3 linked regions of the Sus scrofa genome follow. The protein of the gene in region 2 interacts with the protein of the main gene of each other region in a pairwise test. Links are inferred from orthologs where the notes say so. Each region holds a gene or a part of one and is shown on either strand. Other genes may lie near its edges.

The links. The genes of interacting proteins can lie anywhere in the genome.
Region 1: the proteins of ATXN1 (region 2) and ZHX3 interact in binary tests that used the Homo sapiens proteins (3 or more experiments, as listed by UniProt). The link is inferred for Sus scrofa from reciprocal best matches to the Homo sapiens genes ATXN1 and ZHX3.
Region 3: the proteins of ATXN1 (region 2) and HPCAL1 interact in binary tests that used the Homo sapiens proteins (3 or more experiments, as listed by UniProt). The link is inferred for Sus scrofa from reciprocal best matches to the Homo sapiens genes ATXN1 and HPCAL1.

What each region holds. Positions count from the first base shown.
Region 1 is NC_010459.5:43,855,530-43,861,455, forward strand, and holds the start of ZHX3 (zinc fingers and homeoboxes protein 3), read right to left. Parts: upstream 3,393-5,926; coding exon 539-3,392; intron 1-538. UniProt on the Homo sapiens protein: Acts as a transcriptional repressor. Involved in the early stages of mesenchymal stem cell (MSC) osteogenic differentiation. Is a regulator of podocyte gene expression during primary glomerula disease. Binds to promoter DNA.
Region 2 is NC_010449.5:12,727,465-12,733,435, forward strand, and holds the start of ATXN1 (ataxin-1), read right to left. Parts: upstream 3,387-5,971; 5' UTR 1-3,386. UniProt on the Homo sapiens protein: Chromatin-binding factor that repress Notch signaling in the absence of Notch intracellular domain by acting as a CBF1 corepressor. Binds to the HEY promoter and might assist, along with NCOR2, RBPJ-mediated repression. Binds RNA in vitro.
Region 3 is NC_010445.4:126,107,784-126,113,540, reverse strand, and holds HPCAL1 (hippocalcin-like protein 1), read left to right. Parts: upstream 1-2,365; coding exon 2,366-2,743; intron 2,744-3,412; coding exon 3,413-3,518; intron 3,519-5,232; coding exon 5,233-5,330; downstream 5,331-5,757. UniProt on the Homo sapiens protein: May be involved in the calcium-dependent regulation of rhodopsin phosphorylation.

The DNA of each region.
Region 1 (5,926 bases), on a different chromosome or scaffold from region 2:
CTAATGCCATGATCCAGAGAAACTAAGTAAAAAATTCAAGCTTTCGATTCCATTATAAGAGGGAAGCCAGTCCTTCACTACCTCTATCTACACCAGGAAGAATAAGAGAAATGCAAACTACAGGGTTTTCATCACTGGGAAAAAAAGAAAAACCACTTCACGTATCTCAGGTCAGTTAAAGGCATTCTCTGCTTCTGTTCACCAGTTTGGGCTGAATCTCCTCAGAGGTGCCTTCTCTCTCCTATGCAGTGGTTGTGGCTCTGTCCGGTTCAGATGACATTCTGACCTATTCTCCTTGGGCTAAGGAATGGCTAGAGAGGTGTGGGCCTTTGTGGGTTCACTGTGCCCCCCTGTGCACAGATTAACCAACATGGAAAGTGATAAAAAGCCAGCTCTCAGCCCATGGCCGTATGGCGCTCTGATGGCTCCTCCTGCCAGACAGCCTTGGAAATTGGAGATGCCCTGGCACTAGATTCAGTACCTGCCACCGGTGCCTCCCATACCCACAGAGGACAGCACAGCCGCAAGGGCCCCTTACCCAGCTGAGGTCCAGCTTGGGGACTTGGTGTGTCAAAGGGTTCAGAGCTGGCCTCAGGGGCACCGGGCTCCCACGACTCACTGTTTTCAGACACCTCCAAATAGGTGTCGCCCATCCCTCTGTGGACCATCGCAGGGTCGCCAGCGCCGGGACCCTGGCTCTCACTGGCCGTGTCGGCCACGGCCCGGGTCTCCTCGCCCATCTTCTCAGCAAACCACTGCTTGACCTGCTGGGCGCTCATCTGGGTCTTGTCGCAGAGGCCCTGCAGGTCCGCCTCGTACAGCATCTTGTGGGTCACATAATAGTCTTGCAGCAGCTCCCGGTTGTTTGGGGCGATGACCAGCAGCCCGGGGGGGAAGTTGCCCCGCTTATAGTCTTCGTACCACTTGAGCTGGCCATTCTTCAGGGCGTACCTGCTGTCCCCGAACCAGCGCACCACCTCGGGCCGCGGCAGGCCCGTCTGGGCCATGATGGAGTCATAGTCCTGGTTGCTGGGCCACTGCGTCTGCACGAAGAGCTGCCGCAGCAGGTGCCGCTGCTGGGCTGTCTTCTTGCAGCTCACCTTGCCCGAGGGCTGCTCCGCCAGCTTGCTGGGCACGTCGTCCTCGGGCTCGCAGGTGCCCAGCCCCAGAAGCTCGCTCTTGCCATTGGCCTCTGTGACCCGCAGGTTCTTGAGATTGATTTTGATGGGGCTGACTTTGCGTTCTGCCAGCGAGTGGCTGCCGAGCACTTCCGGGGAGCCACTTTCACCTGGGACCTTCAGGTCACCGGCCGAGCCCTCCTCCCCCTGCTCCTCGGCGGCCTCCTCCTCCCCCTGGGAGGCACCCTCCTCGGCCTTCTTGGCCTCTTCGGCGCTCACCTTTTTCCGTCTCTCTGAAAACCAGCCATCAATCTCTCTGCGGGTCATTTTGGTCTCGGTCCTGAGGCGGTCCAGTTCCTCATCAAGAGGAAGGGGGTTTTGTGCAAAACTGCTCTCCAGGGCTCTGAGCTGCTCAGGGGCTCGCTCCTTGTATTTGGTTGGTGTGAAATCAGGGGTCTGGTGCCAGGACTGTCTCTTGGCAGAAGGGGGGGTGGCCAGGGTGGCTGCTGTCGGGACGCAGGTCACCTCTGGGGCCTTGGACGATGGGGAGAAGGCCACCTCCGGCCCGGAGTCGACGAGGAGGGAGCCGTGCTCTCCGGGCAGCCCGGCCCTGGAGCCTTTCAGGTTCCGGCAGTGGTACCTGCGGTCACTGAACCACTTCCGCACCTCTCTGGTGCTGAGGCCGGTCACTTTGGTCAGGTGCTCAACTTCGCTCTGTCCTGGGAACTGGTTCCGGCAGAAGCTCCCTTTCAGAGCTGACAGCTGTTCATGCGATTTCTTGTTTTTGTAGATGCTGGCATCGAGGAAGGCCTGGGAGGTGATGCTGGGGCACGCTGTGAGGAGGGACTGGGCTGCGTTCACCACCTTCACGGCCGATGTTGTATTTGAACACACAGTGTTGATGGGCGCAACAGAGGGCGGCTTGGGGACAGATGTGACTGCCAGCGGGAGGGACGAGCTAGGTGCCTGCAACCCATTGGCCATCAGTGGCTGAGTGACCAGAAGTCCCCCGGCTGTGCCCTCTGGCTGGCCCACCACGTGGCCCGGCAGAGCGGCCTGGATGAGATGTTGGACGTTGCCGGCACTGGCGACCAGCGGGGTGTTGAGGACGGTGATCGTGGGCTGAGGGACAGACTGGATGACCGTGTTGAACATCTTCTTCCGGGCGTCCTCAATCTCCTCCGGGGACCAGCTGATCCCCTGCTTCAGCCTCTGGGCGGTGAACCAGATCTTGAGCTGCTCTTCCGGGTACTTGGTGACCACAGTCAGGTAGCAGAGCTCGGCTTTGGTTGGGTAGGGGAACTTGTGGAAAGAGTTCTTCAGGAAGCTGTTGGAGTCCATGGCCGCGTTGTACGTGGGGATGCTGCTCAGGGGGATCATCACCTTGGGCAGGGACTTGGCCGTGGGCAGGGGCTGGTGGGCATGGTGCTGGGTGTGCGGGGCTGGCTGCTGGAGGGAGAGAAACTGGGCGATGCCCGCGGGCAGCACTGGCACTGTCCCCAGCAGGGGCCCGTTGGCCACGTGGGGGGGTTTTGCAGAGTTGGTAGAGGCCTGGCTGACGGGGGCCGCCCCGTTGACAAAGGCTTGGTCCCCCTCTTTCACCTCCGTGTCCCCAGCAGAAGGGTTTGATGAGGCCTCCCCGGTGGGCTGACTGGGGACGTTCTCCTTGAGCGTGTGAATTTTTTTGGCTTCAGCTTTGCCTTTCATTATCTTCATGATTGGAGTTTTGGTGATGATGATTTCAGCCTGTCCATCGGTCCCTTCCACGCTGGGCTCCCCCAGGGGGTCGGGAGGGCTGCTGTTCTCAGGGAGGCTCTGCTCCACGATTGCATGATTGTCTGGCTTGGCCACATTCCACACAAAGCTGGCTTCCCCCGAGTGGCACTTGGCATTGTGCAGAGAAAGCCCTTCGGGGGTTTTTGCCAGAAAACTGCATTCGGTGCATACAAAAGTTGGGTCTTTGTTAAAGTCTGTGTGCTCTGAGTTCAGATGTCCCACAAACTGGGTTATGTCCTGGGATCTGAAGTCACAGTATTTACAGGCAAACGAGTAGCCATCCAAGGCGCTCCGGTGCCCATTGGCCAGCGTGGCGCCATCAGGACTACTGGCACCCTGGGCGGCCTCGCTGCCAGTGGCTGGTGCTTCTGGGGCCGGCTCCTGCGGGGGCCCCTCGGGCACAGCCTCTGCGGGTGGAGCCTCGGTGCTGGCATCCTGCAGCACCACAGTCTTCACAGGGATCATGCACGGGGTTGTGGACTTCCTCTTGCTGGCCATGGTGACAGTGGCGCTAAGTGGTCAGTGGGCGACAGCTCGTCCCGTTGGAGGCCTCACAGCACAGGTTCCAGCTGCTCCATGAGGACCAAAGAAACAACTTCCAAGGGCGGTGTTTTCAGTTGTTTGCAGAAAGCAAGTTTTTCCTGTCAAACCTGAAGAGGGGGAAAAAATGGTGAGGCTCTCTCGAGCTATTTCCCAGATTCCCATCCTCCACTGCTTGCCCGCCATCATCCAGGACTTGTCACAAGGAATCCTACAATGGCTTGGATGTGATGCCTGGGTCAGGAGCTCCCCAAACACTCACAAAACAGTGCCCTGAAGAATGACACGGGGTTGTTCCAACACTACTGGACAGACTTCAGTCGTGTGTTTGGTTTTTTTCTCTTCACAGCCGCACCTGCAGCATATGGAGGTTCCCAGACTGGGGGTTGAATCGGAGCTGCAGCTGCCAGCCTACAGCACAGCCACAGCAGTGCCGGATCCGAGCCACAATCTCGACCCATGCCCCAGCTTGCAGCAACGCAGGTTCCTCAACCCACTGAGCGAGGCCAGGGATTGAACCCATATCCTCATGGACATGATGTTCTTAATCCACTGAGCCATAACGGGAACTCCAACCAAGTGTTTTTGCTTTGTGTTTCCCTCTGGGTCCTTGCATAAAGTAACACAGATTCAAAAACAACAACAAAAATAACTGCTTCTGGACCTCCAAATGAATTGTGACCATATCAGAGGGAGAACAAAAGAACCCAGTGTAATTCTTGTTTAAATGTTTGGGCCAACAAGGGCTTTCTTTTCACAGCCTTCCCACACAGGAGGATGGGACGCCGCCTCTGCCTCTCCCGAGCCAGGCCCAGAGGCCAAGTCCGATGCTGTCTGTGTCCTGGGGACGGGGCGCTGCTGCTACAAGAGCCAGGCTGTGGGGACCTGTCATCCCCCCGACCCCGTTCCAGGCTGTGGAAGAGAGATCACCTCACAGTTACTGGCTGTGCCTGGACTGCTGATGCTCAGCGAAGTGCGAGGTCAGAGAGTCAGCAGCTTGTGGCCCAGCAATCGTACATCTCTCTCGGGGGCAGCAACTCCACGTGTGGCCTCACCCTGGGAGTGCGGGCTACACATGACCTTGATTAGGCTTACTTTTTATTTCTTTCGGTGCTTCTATTGTCTTTAAAAACAAAGCAAAACAAACCCTTAAATCTTTGTTCCATTTGAAATTTATTTCGAAAGCTGGGATGATTGATTTATTTACATATAAGACACTTATAATAATCATTCTTTCATGAGATGTCAGGAGAAAAGTGTTTTTATGATCTCTGTTATTAACCTAACACCACCACAGTTGTTATTACCTTTTTTTAGCAAACTGTAATGCTGATAATCCTAAAATAATAGTAATTCTAATGCCAGAATCATGCCATCATCAGTGTTTGGATTTGGTAGAAAAATATAAAGAAAATTAAAATATCTCTATTTAAATTTTTTTTTTTTTTTTCTTTTTAGGGCCATACCTGTGGCAATCGGAAGTTTCCAGGCTGGGGGGTCGAATCTGAGGTACAGCTCCTGGCCTATGCCAGAGCCACAGCAACATGGGCTCTTAGCCACGTCTATGACTTACACCACAGCTCACGGCACTGCCAGATCCTTAACCCCCTGAGCAAGGACAGGGATCAAACCAATGTCCTCAAGGATACTAGTTGGATTTGTTACTTCTGAGCCACAACAGGAACTCCTCTATTCAAATTCTTAGTAAATAAACACAGCAAACAGTTTTTTCTGTTATTTTTTTAAGACATTCTTATGATCATGATGATAAAAATAATTACTATTAAAAAGACAGTCAGGGTGAGAAAAGGATAAACATATACCCAGGTGTATCCACTTGTTACCATTTTCCCCACTGATGTGAAATGTCATGCACTTTTAAACTTAATTTTTAATTGCAAAAATAAAAATGTCAATATTAAACAAAATTTAAGAAAACCACCTATACTTTTATATACTTTCCATCTAGGTCAAATATTCTACACATATTTTAAATAATTAAGGGGCACACACCTATATTTTGGTTTTTTTCACTAAACACTTCATCATAAAGTGTCATTAAGTAAGCTTCATAATTGCAGTATTCAACAGCTGTCTAATACTGTACCATTAAGGACTTAACTCATTGTCCTCTACTATCAACAGGCTTCCAGCATCCCACTCTCATACGTGAAATGACTGCTGGGCATATAGGATGCATTTCTTCTGTCAAATCATTATCTGAAGCTAAATGCACAGAAATGGATTCACCAGCTCAGTGAGTATCAACATCTCTAAGCTCTTCTGTATATTACTGATAAACATTTTAAATCAAGTGCTTTGTCCCTGATTAGATTTCTTTTTTTTGCTTTTTAGGGCCGCACCCGTGGCATATGGAAGTTCCCAGGCTAAGGGTCGAATCAGAGCTGTAGCTGCCAGCCTATACCACGGCCACGGCAGCATGGGATCCAAGCCATGTCTGTGACTTAAACCACAGCTCATAGCAATGCCAG
Region 2 (5,971 bases):
ACCAGAAAAGTAAAATAAACTAAAAACAAAAGTGAAAACCACTCACACAATAGACTCTGAGGTCAGCTCACCACACCCAGACTGAAGTCACTGGCCTCTGTTTGTGGCACAGAGACTCTTAAAGTACATACTTCTGAATCATCTTTCTTGACCCTCCACCAAACTGTAGCAGCATAGGCTTCTGGGTAATGAAAATGACATCACCACTAGTCAAGAGTGAAATTAAAATCATTGTACTTAAACATCTGCCAACAGTTTATGATGTAACAGTACACACAGTAGGGAATTTTAAATAAGATTCTGTCTACAATTAAAACCAAAAACAAGTGCTTTCAGATAGGTCTGCACTGTTCAATATGACTTCAGCCATTGAGATGTGTTATACGTGTAACATACACTTTAAATGTCAGACTTAGAACATACACACAAATGCACAAGTGTACACATATACAGGTATCTCAAGAATTTTCGTATCGATTAAAATGAAAATATTCTGCCTAAGTCAGGTTAAATAAAATATACCGTTAAAGTTAATTTACCAGTTTCTTTTTACTTCCGAGTGTGACTATTATAAAATTTAAAATGACATGTGTCCATTATTTTTCTAATGGACCACTCTGGTATAAATAATGAGGCTGGGGAGGTGCAGGAATTAGTTCTAAGAACTAATTGGAGACCTTAAGATCCTGGCATGACTCTGCAGTAGTGGAGTAGATAACTGGGTTATTTTTTTTTTAACCTTCCTGAGATTTCCCCCTTGCAGTGTATAACATGGACCTTAACCTTTGTTAAAATGATCTCTGAGAGTAAGCTGGTGGTGAAGGAATAATCTCCTGGGTAGATCTGGCATGGGCCCACAAAATAGAAATTTATTAGATTTGTCTGTTAGACTAAAAATTTGTTAGATCTGGTGTGGGTTTTTTTTTGGGGGGGGGAGAAGGGGAGAGAGGATCCCAGACACTGTGCCACCCTGGGAAGCTGATGGAAAGCTATGTATTCTGGAGTTATAGCTGGATTTGCAGCTTGTGGCTGAATGGTTGGGGGTGTTACCTTTTAATGACAGATGGCTTTGGGCATGAATAATGAAAAGTATACAGTTGCTGCTTAACTAGAAAACAAATCAAGGCCACCAAAAGGAAATCTGTCTTTTTTTTTATATATAACACTTTCTCATATACTTAGTCTAATAGGACACGTCAAAAGGAAATGAGATGATTTTTAACCATTATTATTTATTTTTCAAGCAAGACCTAGATAAATTTTCGTCAATGTAACTACAACCAAGACTGAATGTAATGTAATGACCTATGAAATAACAGAATTTATGGTTTTAATCATCTATAGGACATAGCCCTTCTTACAGGAAAAGAAAATGAACAACAGTTTGAGGCTTAGAATGAGTGAGTTGAACTTTGCCTGGTATTGGCTGGGAGCATTTGGAAATCTATTAAAAGCATTTCATTAACATCTTGGCATTTTGTTTCCTCAAAAGAAATACATTTTCCAAATTAAAATCAAAGCCCAAAGCCACCACTGTTTACACTTTAAGATGATGGCAGTTGATGGGTTGTAGGGGTTAAGCTTAGGGTGTCTGCAGACTGAGATCAGGGGCTACAACGGACTGAAAGAAACAAAACAAAACACATCAAACTGTTTGGGAAAGAGGGAAGGTCTTTGTGACTCTAACTACAGGATATTAAAATATCTAGCTGTAAGCTCTGTCGGTTTGTTTTTCTTGAGTCACCCATCAGCTAGGAAAACTGACCCACAGGAGGGTCCGAGTTTAAGACAATTATTTTATGAGGAATTTACCAAGTTTACCCCAAAGAGGAAGAGTTAGAGAAGAGGCACTGGCCAAGTTTGCTTTTGGACACAAAGAGGAAACTGTGTGTCAGGATTTCAGCGGGGGTTGTCAGGCAGTTTGATATTTGCAGAACCCCTGTGGGCCAGGCCTCTCCAAAGTTTAAGGGCTGGAGTCTCCAGGGAGCTCTCAAGCTGACTGGCGATCAGGGCTTGCTTTGTGCCCTGGCACAGGCTGAAACGATGCTCCTGCGGCAGATGCGTTCTGACAGCGCAGAATAATGGCCCTCAGCCTTAAACTGTAAATTACAAACAATCCCTTTTTAAGTACAAAATGAATGCGCAGAATGGAAGACCCTGTCAGCTAGAATGCGGAGTAAATCAAGAAGAAGAAGACAAATTGTTCACTCATACCAGTACAGCCAGATTTTTGTTCTGCTAACCGGACTGTCATGGGAGAGCGTTTCTTCTTTGTCAGATAAAAAGAGAAATTAATGCTCCGTTGTAATTCTAATAAATATGCCAGGCATCTGAAGCATCTCCTCCGAAAGCCAATCAAGAGGCAAGGTGAGGTTTCCCGACCCCTCCCCCCTGCCTCGGGTTTGAAAGTTGTAGCCGAAATACCAATAGTAGGAACACGTGACCCCCGTCACTCCCAGCGCGAGCTTTTTCTGCAGTCAATTTCATAATTACTTCGCTCCGCCTCTCTGCTCAGCACTTCCTTCCCCCTCCCTCTCGTCGCTCCCCCACCCCCAGCAATGAATCACCGTGCATTTAAAGAGCCTTCGATGACCCAGTGTGAACTTTACTGGCATCTTGTACATTCTTATGCCAAAAAAGGGGAGTCTCTCTGTGACAGGAACCTAGCCAGAACCCCGCAGCAGATCTCAGAGGCAGCAAGCTTGGGTGCTTATCTGGGAAGATCGGTGAGGGTTAATTTTCCTAGATCCTGGTGATGATTCAGAATTGCCTATCTCGGTTCACGATCAGGTTTTAAAAACCCAGTTCAGCTCTTTGTGCAGCAAGGAATATATCAGAGAAAAAAATGTTGGCAGATCTCCTTATGCAATCAGGGCAGAGGAATTTATACCACATCAGCCTTTTGATTTCTCCAGCTCTGGCTGAGGGTGGGGTTTCCATATTTGTGCTTTGGCAAATGTGCCCAAGAATGAAGTCTTCCTTAGAGATGCTGCTCTCCTGTCTCTTTAGGTTACTGTGTGCTTCTGTGTGCATTTATTAAAACCAGCAACATGTTTGCCCCTTCCTGTATTTAATCCTGTTTCTGAGTAATACAGATCAAGCAGACGGTCTGCGCCTTGCCTTGAGAGGTTGTTCACCCTATTTCAGGCAGTAAAGGGTGGATCACTGAAGTGACACTGGGCCTTTGGCATATACTTTCTCTCTATCTGGGAAGTCCTCCTTTACATGGCGATTTTATCCTCATCCTCCGAGATCCAGCTCAGGCACCAACCCTTCCGTGGAGTCTTTCCTGATTATCACAAGAATTTGCGGCTCTGCCCAATGTGTGAGTCAGAGAAGTGCTATTTTCTTATTCTTTTTATTTATACAGTATTTTTTTTAACTCTGAGAGGGAAAAAAAAAAAAAATCAAGGCCATAAGCACAGATGGAGAGCGTATCCCAAGTGAAAGCTTCTCTTATCTAATATTTCCTGTTACTCCCAAATCCATTTGACCTCCACTTAGAATTTCACATGTAACTGTTTTCCTTTTATTGCTCCATTTATGTGTTTTCCCCCACAGGTGGGCTCTCAGGGTAAGTTCCTGTTGCCCTCTGTTGTGGGTGGAGTTGTGCTCCCCTGAAAGATATGTTGAAGTCCTTGCACCCTAGGAAAGTGAGTGACTTTATCTGGAATTAAGATGTAATTAGTTAAGATGTCTTACCAGATGAGGGTGGTCCCTAAATCCCACCTGACCGCTATTCTCCTAAGACCGGGGGACACAGGGAAGGGGAAGAAGGCCCTGCGAAGACAGGCCGAGATGGAAGTGATTTAGCCACAAGCCAAGGAAAGCCAAGACTGGCCAGCAATCACCAGGAGCTGGAAGAGGCAAGGAAGAATTCTTCCTTAGCGCTTCAGAGGGAGCAAGGCCCTGCAAGGCCCGATGCCTTGATTTGGGGCCTCTCTCCTCCCAAACTGTAAGAGTACATTTCTCTTGTTTTAAGCCACCCTGTTTGTGGTCACTTGTCATAGCAGCCCCATACACCCTCTTTATTCCATCTGTTGCATTCTTCCTTCTTCTCTTTATTTACATCTAGGGCCTTATCTCTTTCCTCTATGGATACACACAGGTGATCACTTCTGGATGCATATGTGTTTGGTCCTTTACCCATGACAACGGCCATAAACAAAAGTTTCAGTAGAATAGGAAAATTGTCAAGAGAGTTCTAGAACCACTTCCCCATCCTCCCAGAAACACCTGGCTTCTAGCCAGAAGCACAGAGGTTGCTAGAGGCTGGAGAGAAGGCAGTGTCCAGCCCTGGGCCTCAGCTCAGAGGTCTTCCGGAGGCCTTCTCAGCTCCCTCTATTGGTGCCAGGATGCACCAGCAGCTCTGCTCTTCAGAAGTGGCATTTCAGCCTGTGGAGTTGGGGTGGGGGTGAGGAAAAGACTAAAAAAACTAAATGAACTGTTTGGCACAGAGGAGGAAATACAACCCCCGAACTGATGCTTTTTTTAAACTGTGCATTTGAGTCTTACAAAAGTACTTGTGAAAACCTCAGTCTTTCCGAGCCTCATCTTTCAAAGCACAGCCGGGAGCTCATTTGTTTCAAGAGGTTTTCCCCAGCAGGTAGAAGGAAGCCTTACACTCAAGCCCACACTCCCAAGGCAGCTGTTCTCTCCGAGTCACTGTGAGATGTATAATACAGCTCTTGCACACACATCTCAGTAAATGGCAGCTCCATCCTTCCAAATGCTCAGGCCCTAAAGCATCTTGACTCCTCTTTTTCACATCCCCCACCCACATCCACTCTGCCTCCAAAGCCAACTGGCTCTACCTTCCACATGTATCCAGAATTTGACCATTTCTCACTTACTTGGGCTGCTACTCCTGGAAAACTGAACTGCCACCATCCTTCATCAGAACTATTGCACTGGCCTCCTGCATTGTCTCTGCCTCCGGCAGGACCAGCTCACACCATGACTGAGCATCTGCATCAGGTGATGCCACAACTCTGCTCAAAAGCATCTGATGTTGCGCTTCCACTTGGAGTCAAAGTCAAAATCTTCCCATGGCCTCCAAGGCCCCACCCAATCTCTTTGTCTTTCAGATCCAGTGTCCCCTCTCTTTTCTTGTCACTCCACAGCTCCAGCCCCACTGTCCCCTTTGCTGTTCCGCAAAAAAAGCCAGGCGCTCTCTTTCCTCGGGGTCATTCTACTCACTGGTCCCTCTGCTTGGAGTGCTTTTCCCTGAATATTCACACGACTCCCTACTTAAAATTGTATCCCCCAGTTTTCCTGATCCACCCTGCCCTGCTCTAGTATTCCATCGATGTGTTGCCTTAGAACATTCTGAGTCATTTCCTGTTTGTTTATTGTCAGGAGAGCAGAGATCTTGTCTGTCTTATTCACTGATAGACCTACTAAAGATTCATCAACCATTACATGAATTAATGAATCAGTAATATTTTTCAGGACCTCCGATGTGCAAAGCCTTAGGCCACAACACACGACACTTCTCTCATGAGAAGCTCATCCAAAACCAAACCGATGGATCTTGTCCGCATTGTGGTACATATTCTATTTACTTGATCTTGGACTTCGTCATAGCTAATCCCCACAATTCTCCGGTGAGGTAAAGATCACACGTCCCATTTCTTAGATGATCAGAGGACCTGCCCAAAGCCCAAGGTCACCCAGTACTGGTTCCAAGGTAAGTTATCCATCTACGGAGCCTGGGAATTTTTAACAAGTCACTACCTGATCGAAATAGACCAGTTGACGTCATAACACTGCATTCTAATATTTTGGCTAAGGCAACAATTTTAATACTAATCTCCATTAGATTTTATTTATGAGTGAATAGTACAAGTATCCCAGAAATTAAAGCCAGGGATTCGTATTGAGAATTGAGTATTTCTCCATAAACCAAATGGCTTCAGAACCACCCGACTGGTTTCCCAACTGACAAAACTCTACTCCAGCTTGTGATTTT
Region 3 (5,757 bases), on a different chromosome or scaffold from region 2:
GTACAGCAAAGTGACCCAGTCACACATAAATATATACATTCTTTTTCCCACATTATCATGCTCCATCATAAGTGACTAGATATAGTTCCCAGTGCTACACAGCAGGATTTCATTGCTTACCCATTCCAAAGGCAATAGTTTGCATCTATGAACCCCAGACTCCCAGTCCATCCCATTCCCGCCCCCCTCCCTTGGAACCACACGTCTCTTCTCCAAGTCCATGAGTTTCTTCTCTGTGGAAAGGTTCATTTGTGCCATATATTAGATTCCAGATCTAAGTCATCTCATCTGGTAATTGTCTTTCTCTTTCTGACTTACTTCACTTAGTAGGAGAGTCTCTAGGTCCATCCATGTTGCTGCAAATGGCATTATTTTGTTCGTTAGTCCTTGGGGTCTTAAGTCGAGTCTGGGAGCCCTGGGGTGCGGGTGCTGCTGGGGGTGGGAGGCGCTTTGGACATTGGAAACTGACAACCAAGTTATGTAGTGATTTGCTGGTTTCCGCTTAGGAGGATCTGCCTCAAGTCAAGTCGAGACAGTAAACCCTGACAGTGTAAAAGCAGGGTTTCAGGAAAAAAATGAAAATAAAAAATAAATAAAAGCAGTGGTTCAGCATGACAGAAGCAGGGATGAAGGAAGGGGGTGGGGGATTCATAGCTTGATCTTTTAGAGAGAAGCAAGAGATTCCTCTCAAGCTGCTTGGCCAAGAAACAGAGGATTCCTGTGTATTTATTTTTTGAATAGTAAAAACATATACAAGAGTTCCTGTTGTGGCTCAGCGGTAATGAATCTGACTAGTATCCATGAGGATGCAGGTTCAATTCCTGGCCTCACTCAGTGGGTTAAGGATCCGGCATTGCCAGGAGCTGTAGTGTAGGTCGCAGATGCAGCTCAGACCTAGCATTGCTGTGGCTGTGGTGTAGGCTGGCAGCTGTAGCTCCGATTGGACCCCTAGCCTGGGAACTTCCATATGCCGAGGATGCGGCCCTAAAAGCCACCCCCCCCAAAAAAGGCAAAAAGACAAAACGGAGGGAGTCCTCACTGTGGCTTATCGGGTTAAGAACCGACAGAGCGTCTGTGAGGATGTGGGTTTGATCCCTGGCATCGATAGTGGGTTAAGGATCCCGAGTTGCTGTGAGCTGTGGTCGCTGATGCTTCTTGGACCCTGGCTGTGGCGTAGCCCTCAGCTGAAGCTCTGATTCATCCCGTAGCCCGGGTCCTTATGCCACAGGCATGGCCATAAAAAAAGAAAAATAAATAAAGTGAGATGGCAAAGAGAAAGCTGTATTAATGCCTAGTAGGAGTTACTCCAGGGTCAGTCTTTTTTTTTTTTTTTTTTTTTTTTTGCTACACCCGTGGCGTGTGGAAATTCCCAGTCCAGCGATCAAACCTGAGCCACAGCAGCGACCTGAGCCTCTATCTACAGTGACACCACCAGATCCTTAAGCCTGCAGGGGCCTGAGATTTTACCATGAACACCGAAGACACTGTGGACTCTTGGTGCTGATTCTAGATCCACTCCCCACCCCCACCCCCAACCAGAGGGTCTCTCAAACAAAATCAAGAAGGGGCTCCTTCAAAGTTTTTGGATGCCTGTTCTAAGGATGAAGTCAGAATATGGTGCCTGAGGAGTTCCCGTCATGGCACAGTGGAAACGAATTCAACTAGGAACCATGAGGTTGCGGGTTTGATCCCCGGCCTCACTCATTGGGTTAAGGATCCAGTGTTGCTTTGAGCAGTGGTGTAGGTTGCAGACGCGGCTTGGATCTGGTATTGCTGTGGCTCTGGTGTAGGCTGGAGGCTACAGCTCCGATTCGACCCCTAGCCTGGGAACCTCCATATGCCATGGGAGCGGCCCTAAAAAGACCAAAAAAAAGAAAAAGAAAAAAGAGAATATGGTGCCCGAAAGAGAAAAGCACGGCTCAGAACAGGGGGTGTGGGGTGCAGTCAGCGTGACAGTATCGCCTGGAGCTGACGAGGGCGGTGAGAGTAAGGATTCCATCCTTAAGTCTTGTACAATCCCCAGTGGGCCTCATTCTCTCGATTTCAAGTGGCCATTTTTCCACATCTCCACCTTCTGGAAGTAGGGTATTCCTTCCAGTGTGAGGTCGGCTGGCCCTGACTCCCTGGAGCATCCCCGCCTCCCTAGGGGTACACTGCACCGCCACCGCCCCGAAGGCATCCCAGCCACGCTGAGACGTCTCATCACCATGATGGCCAGAGTCCGGCCTGTCCAGCCCTGGGTGCGAGACAGGCAGGGGACGTTCCTCCGGCCCACTCAGCGGCTGCCGGCAGTGGGGCGCCCTCCCCGGCCCCGAAGTCCCCAGCTGGGCCCCCTGTCTTGCAGGTGTCGCCACCGCCGGCCGTCATGGGCAAGCAGAACAGCAAGCTGCGGCCCGAGGTGCTGCAGGACCTGCGCGAGAACACCGAGTTCACGGACCACGAGCTGCAGGAGTGGTACAAGGGCTTCCTCAAAGACTGCCCCACCGGCCACCTGACCGTGGACGAGTTCAAGAAGATCTACGCCAACTTCTTCCCCTACGGCGACGCCTCCAAGTTCGCCGAGCACGTCTTCCGCACCTTCGACACCAACGGCGACGGCACCATCGACTTCCGGGAGTTCATCATCGCGCTGAGCGTGACGTCGCGGGGCAAGCTGGAGCAGAAGCTCAAGTGGGCCTTCAGCATGTACGACCTGGACGGCAACGGCTACATCAGCCGCAGCGAGATGCTGGAGATCGTGCAGGTGCGTCTCCGAGGCCCCGCCCACCCAGGGCTCGGGGCCGCCACGCCCGTAGCCGTGGCCGTGGCCGTGGTGATGGTGGCAGAGCCCGGGTTTCCTCGGGCCCCTTGGACAGAGACGCACGGAGGTGGCCGGCGGGGCTGCTGAGCCCTCCCATGGCAGTGTCCCAGAGAGCAGGTGCTCGGTCCTTTCTGGGGCTAGTGAGATGGTTCTCCTTGCTGGGTCTCAGGGTCTGAGTCTTTTTTTTTTTTTTTTTTGGCTTTTAACGGAGGTGCAGCCATCCCGTAGTCAGGTGTTTGAGGCCCGGCGTGCCGCGTGATGGGCCGTGCCCGCGTCTGGCCGGGTCCTCCCCCTCCGCCGCAGTCCAGCCCGCAGAAAGCCCGAGAACTGCCCCGCCTCCCGCCCCCAGACAACCCCTGTCTTACAGCCATCACCTCGGGTCATTTCCTCTGTTCTTGAACTTCACGTAAATGAGTCCGGCTTCCTCTGGCTCGTGTGCTGTCTGCCATATCCTTCCTCGCTACTGGGAGGAGCGGGCAACTTTCCAGCTAGGGAGGGGTCCGCAGCCCCGACTGCTGTGGGCGAGGCCGAGGCGGCAGCTCGCGCCTGGGCCCCACCCGTCCAGGGACACCCCGGAATCGCTGAGCACGAGGTGTGTGTGCCCCTTTGCAGGCCATTTACAAAATGGTGTCGTCGGTGATGAAGATGCCGGAGGACGAGTCCACCCCTGAGAAACGCACGGACAAGATCTTCAGACAGATGGACACCAATAATGACGGTAAGACCCCGGCGTCAGTGCCTCGGAGCACAGATGCGTGTGGGAGCCTTCCCTCCTGCTCTGCAGCTTCTCGGGCCTCACCCAGCCATGCAGCTGCATTCAGGGAAGAGCCGGGGTTCGGAGTCCGGGTGCCTGGGTGAGCGTCCTGCCCCCCTGATCTGTAGTCTCCTTGCTTCTAGAACCGGGGGACGGTAGGCCCCGGCTGTCCAGGGAGAGGCGCAGGTGCAGTGTCACCGCGCCCTGCAGGGGTGGGGACCAAGCGTCCCATGTGGTGGGGCCCTGGGAACTGCATCCCTTTGCTCTCATTATCCTGACTGGAGGGCTCCCAGTGGCCCCAGGGACTCTGCGGGGAGGTGCTGGCTGGAGCAGCTGTGCGGGGCCTCTGGGCTCATGCCACGGCAGAGGTGGCGCTTCCAGGAGGGGCGGTGGCAGCCGCACAATGAGGACTCAGTGTGTTTCCTGCTCTGCACTGGCTGCGAGCTTCTGCGGGGCCCACAGGGGGAGCGTAGCTGTGAAACTCCACGGGTCTACGCCTCTTAAGCAGTGTTAAGTGCCGTCCCAGAGCCTGGTCCGATTTGCTTTTGATCAATAAAGAAATGCAGCATTTAGACAAGAAAAAAGAGAAAATACCCCCTGGGCTGTGCTGGAGATGGAAAATAAGCAAATGGACAGAAGCGTGCTCTCTAGACCCCGAAGTGAGGTGCGAGGAGGAGGCCGAGGGCTGCGCCCTCGGGGGAGGGGTGCAGCGGCGCGACCGCAGCTGGAGAGCCTCTTATGCAGAGGCAGGAAGTGGGCTCCCCAAGGCACAAGTTGCCACAATGCAGGGTCTGCTTCAAACTCGGTCCCTCCCACATCTGTATCCTGGGAGCATGTGTTTGGCGCCAGCGTCGGTGGCTCTGGAACTCACCTTTCTACGGCACCCGGTCCCAGGAGTAACAAGGTCCTCGATGCAGGAGGCACCGAGGACGAGGCAGGCACCAGCAGGCCCTTGGCAGGCCTCTGCCTAACCCTCCCACCCCGCAAAGCAGGTAGTGCAGGAGCAGGAAGGGGACTCAGCCGGAGCAGCGGGCCGAGCCTCCGCCAATGGATGGCCAAGCTGGACGGGCCGGAACCACACCCCGGGCAGTGGCTGGGAGGCTCTGGATTGGTTATGGGCTAGAGACAGAGGCCATGTTCTTTCCGGACAAGACACGTCGTTCTTAAATAAAGCGTGGAGAACTTTCTAGAAGGATTTAGCTTGCCCCACCAGCCACAGCGTGCAGCCATACTGGGGACAGCCTTTGAGGGGCCCCGTGCTGTGCCACGAACAGTGAAAGCCAAAAAGGGTTTTCCAGAAATGCTCTTTTTTTTCTTTTCTTTTTTTTTTTTTTTTAATGTTAGGGCCGTACCCACAGCATATGGAAGTTCCCAAGCTAGGGGTTGAATCAGAGCTGCAGCCACCGGCCTACGCCACAGCCACAGCAACAGCAGATCCAAGCCGCATCTGTGACTTACAGCTTGCAGTCACGCCAGATCCTTAACCCACAGAGCGAGGCCTGGGATCGAACCCGCATCCTCATGGATACTAGTCGGGTTCTCACGCTGAGCCTCAACAGGAACTCCCCAGAAATGCCGTTGAAACGAGTGGAGCCTGGACAGCATCCAGGACTCAAGGGCGCGTGGGGACAGTGACACAGGAATGGTGACAGCACACTAACTCCCATTTCTCCCCCAGGCAAACTGTCCCTGGAAGAATTCATTAAAGGTGCCAAGAGCGACCCGTCCATCGTCCGGTTGTTACAGTGTGACCCCAGCAGCGCCAGTCAGTTCTAAGGGCCCGGCATGTGGACAGTGCAGAGAAACACAAGCTTGTCTTGCCATTTAAGCTTTGCTTGCGACAGTGGATGCCTCCTCAGTCATTCCTGCTCTCCCAGGGCAGCCAGGCGCCGCGTGGCACCTGCCCGCCCGGCGGCCGCGCCTCCCCCCCTCCGCCCGGCCTCCTCCCGCCCCCTCCCGGGTCCCTCCTGGGCGACTCCCCGGGATGTGTTTACACGCAGGGCTCCCAGCATCCTTGCTTCTGGGCCACCTCCCGGCCTGCAGGGAGCCCAGAGGACGCGCCGAGGATACTGGCGGGACTTTTCTAAGATCGCGCCAAGGCCAGCCGACTTCTCTTGTGATCGCAGGTGACTCTGGGAAAGATGGAGACAAGAATGGAGGGAACATAGACGGGCAGCCCCCCCCACTCCCTCTCCTCCCCCCA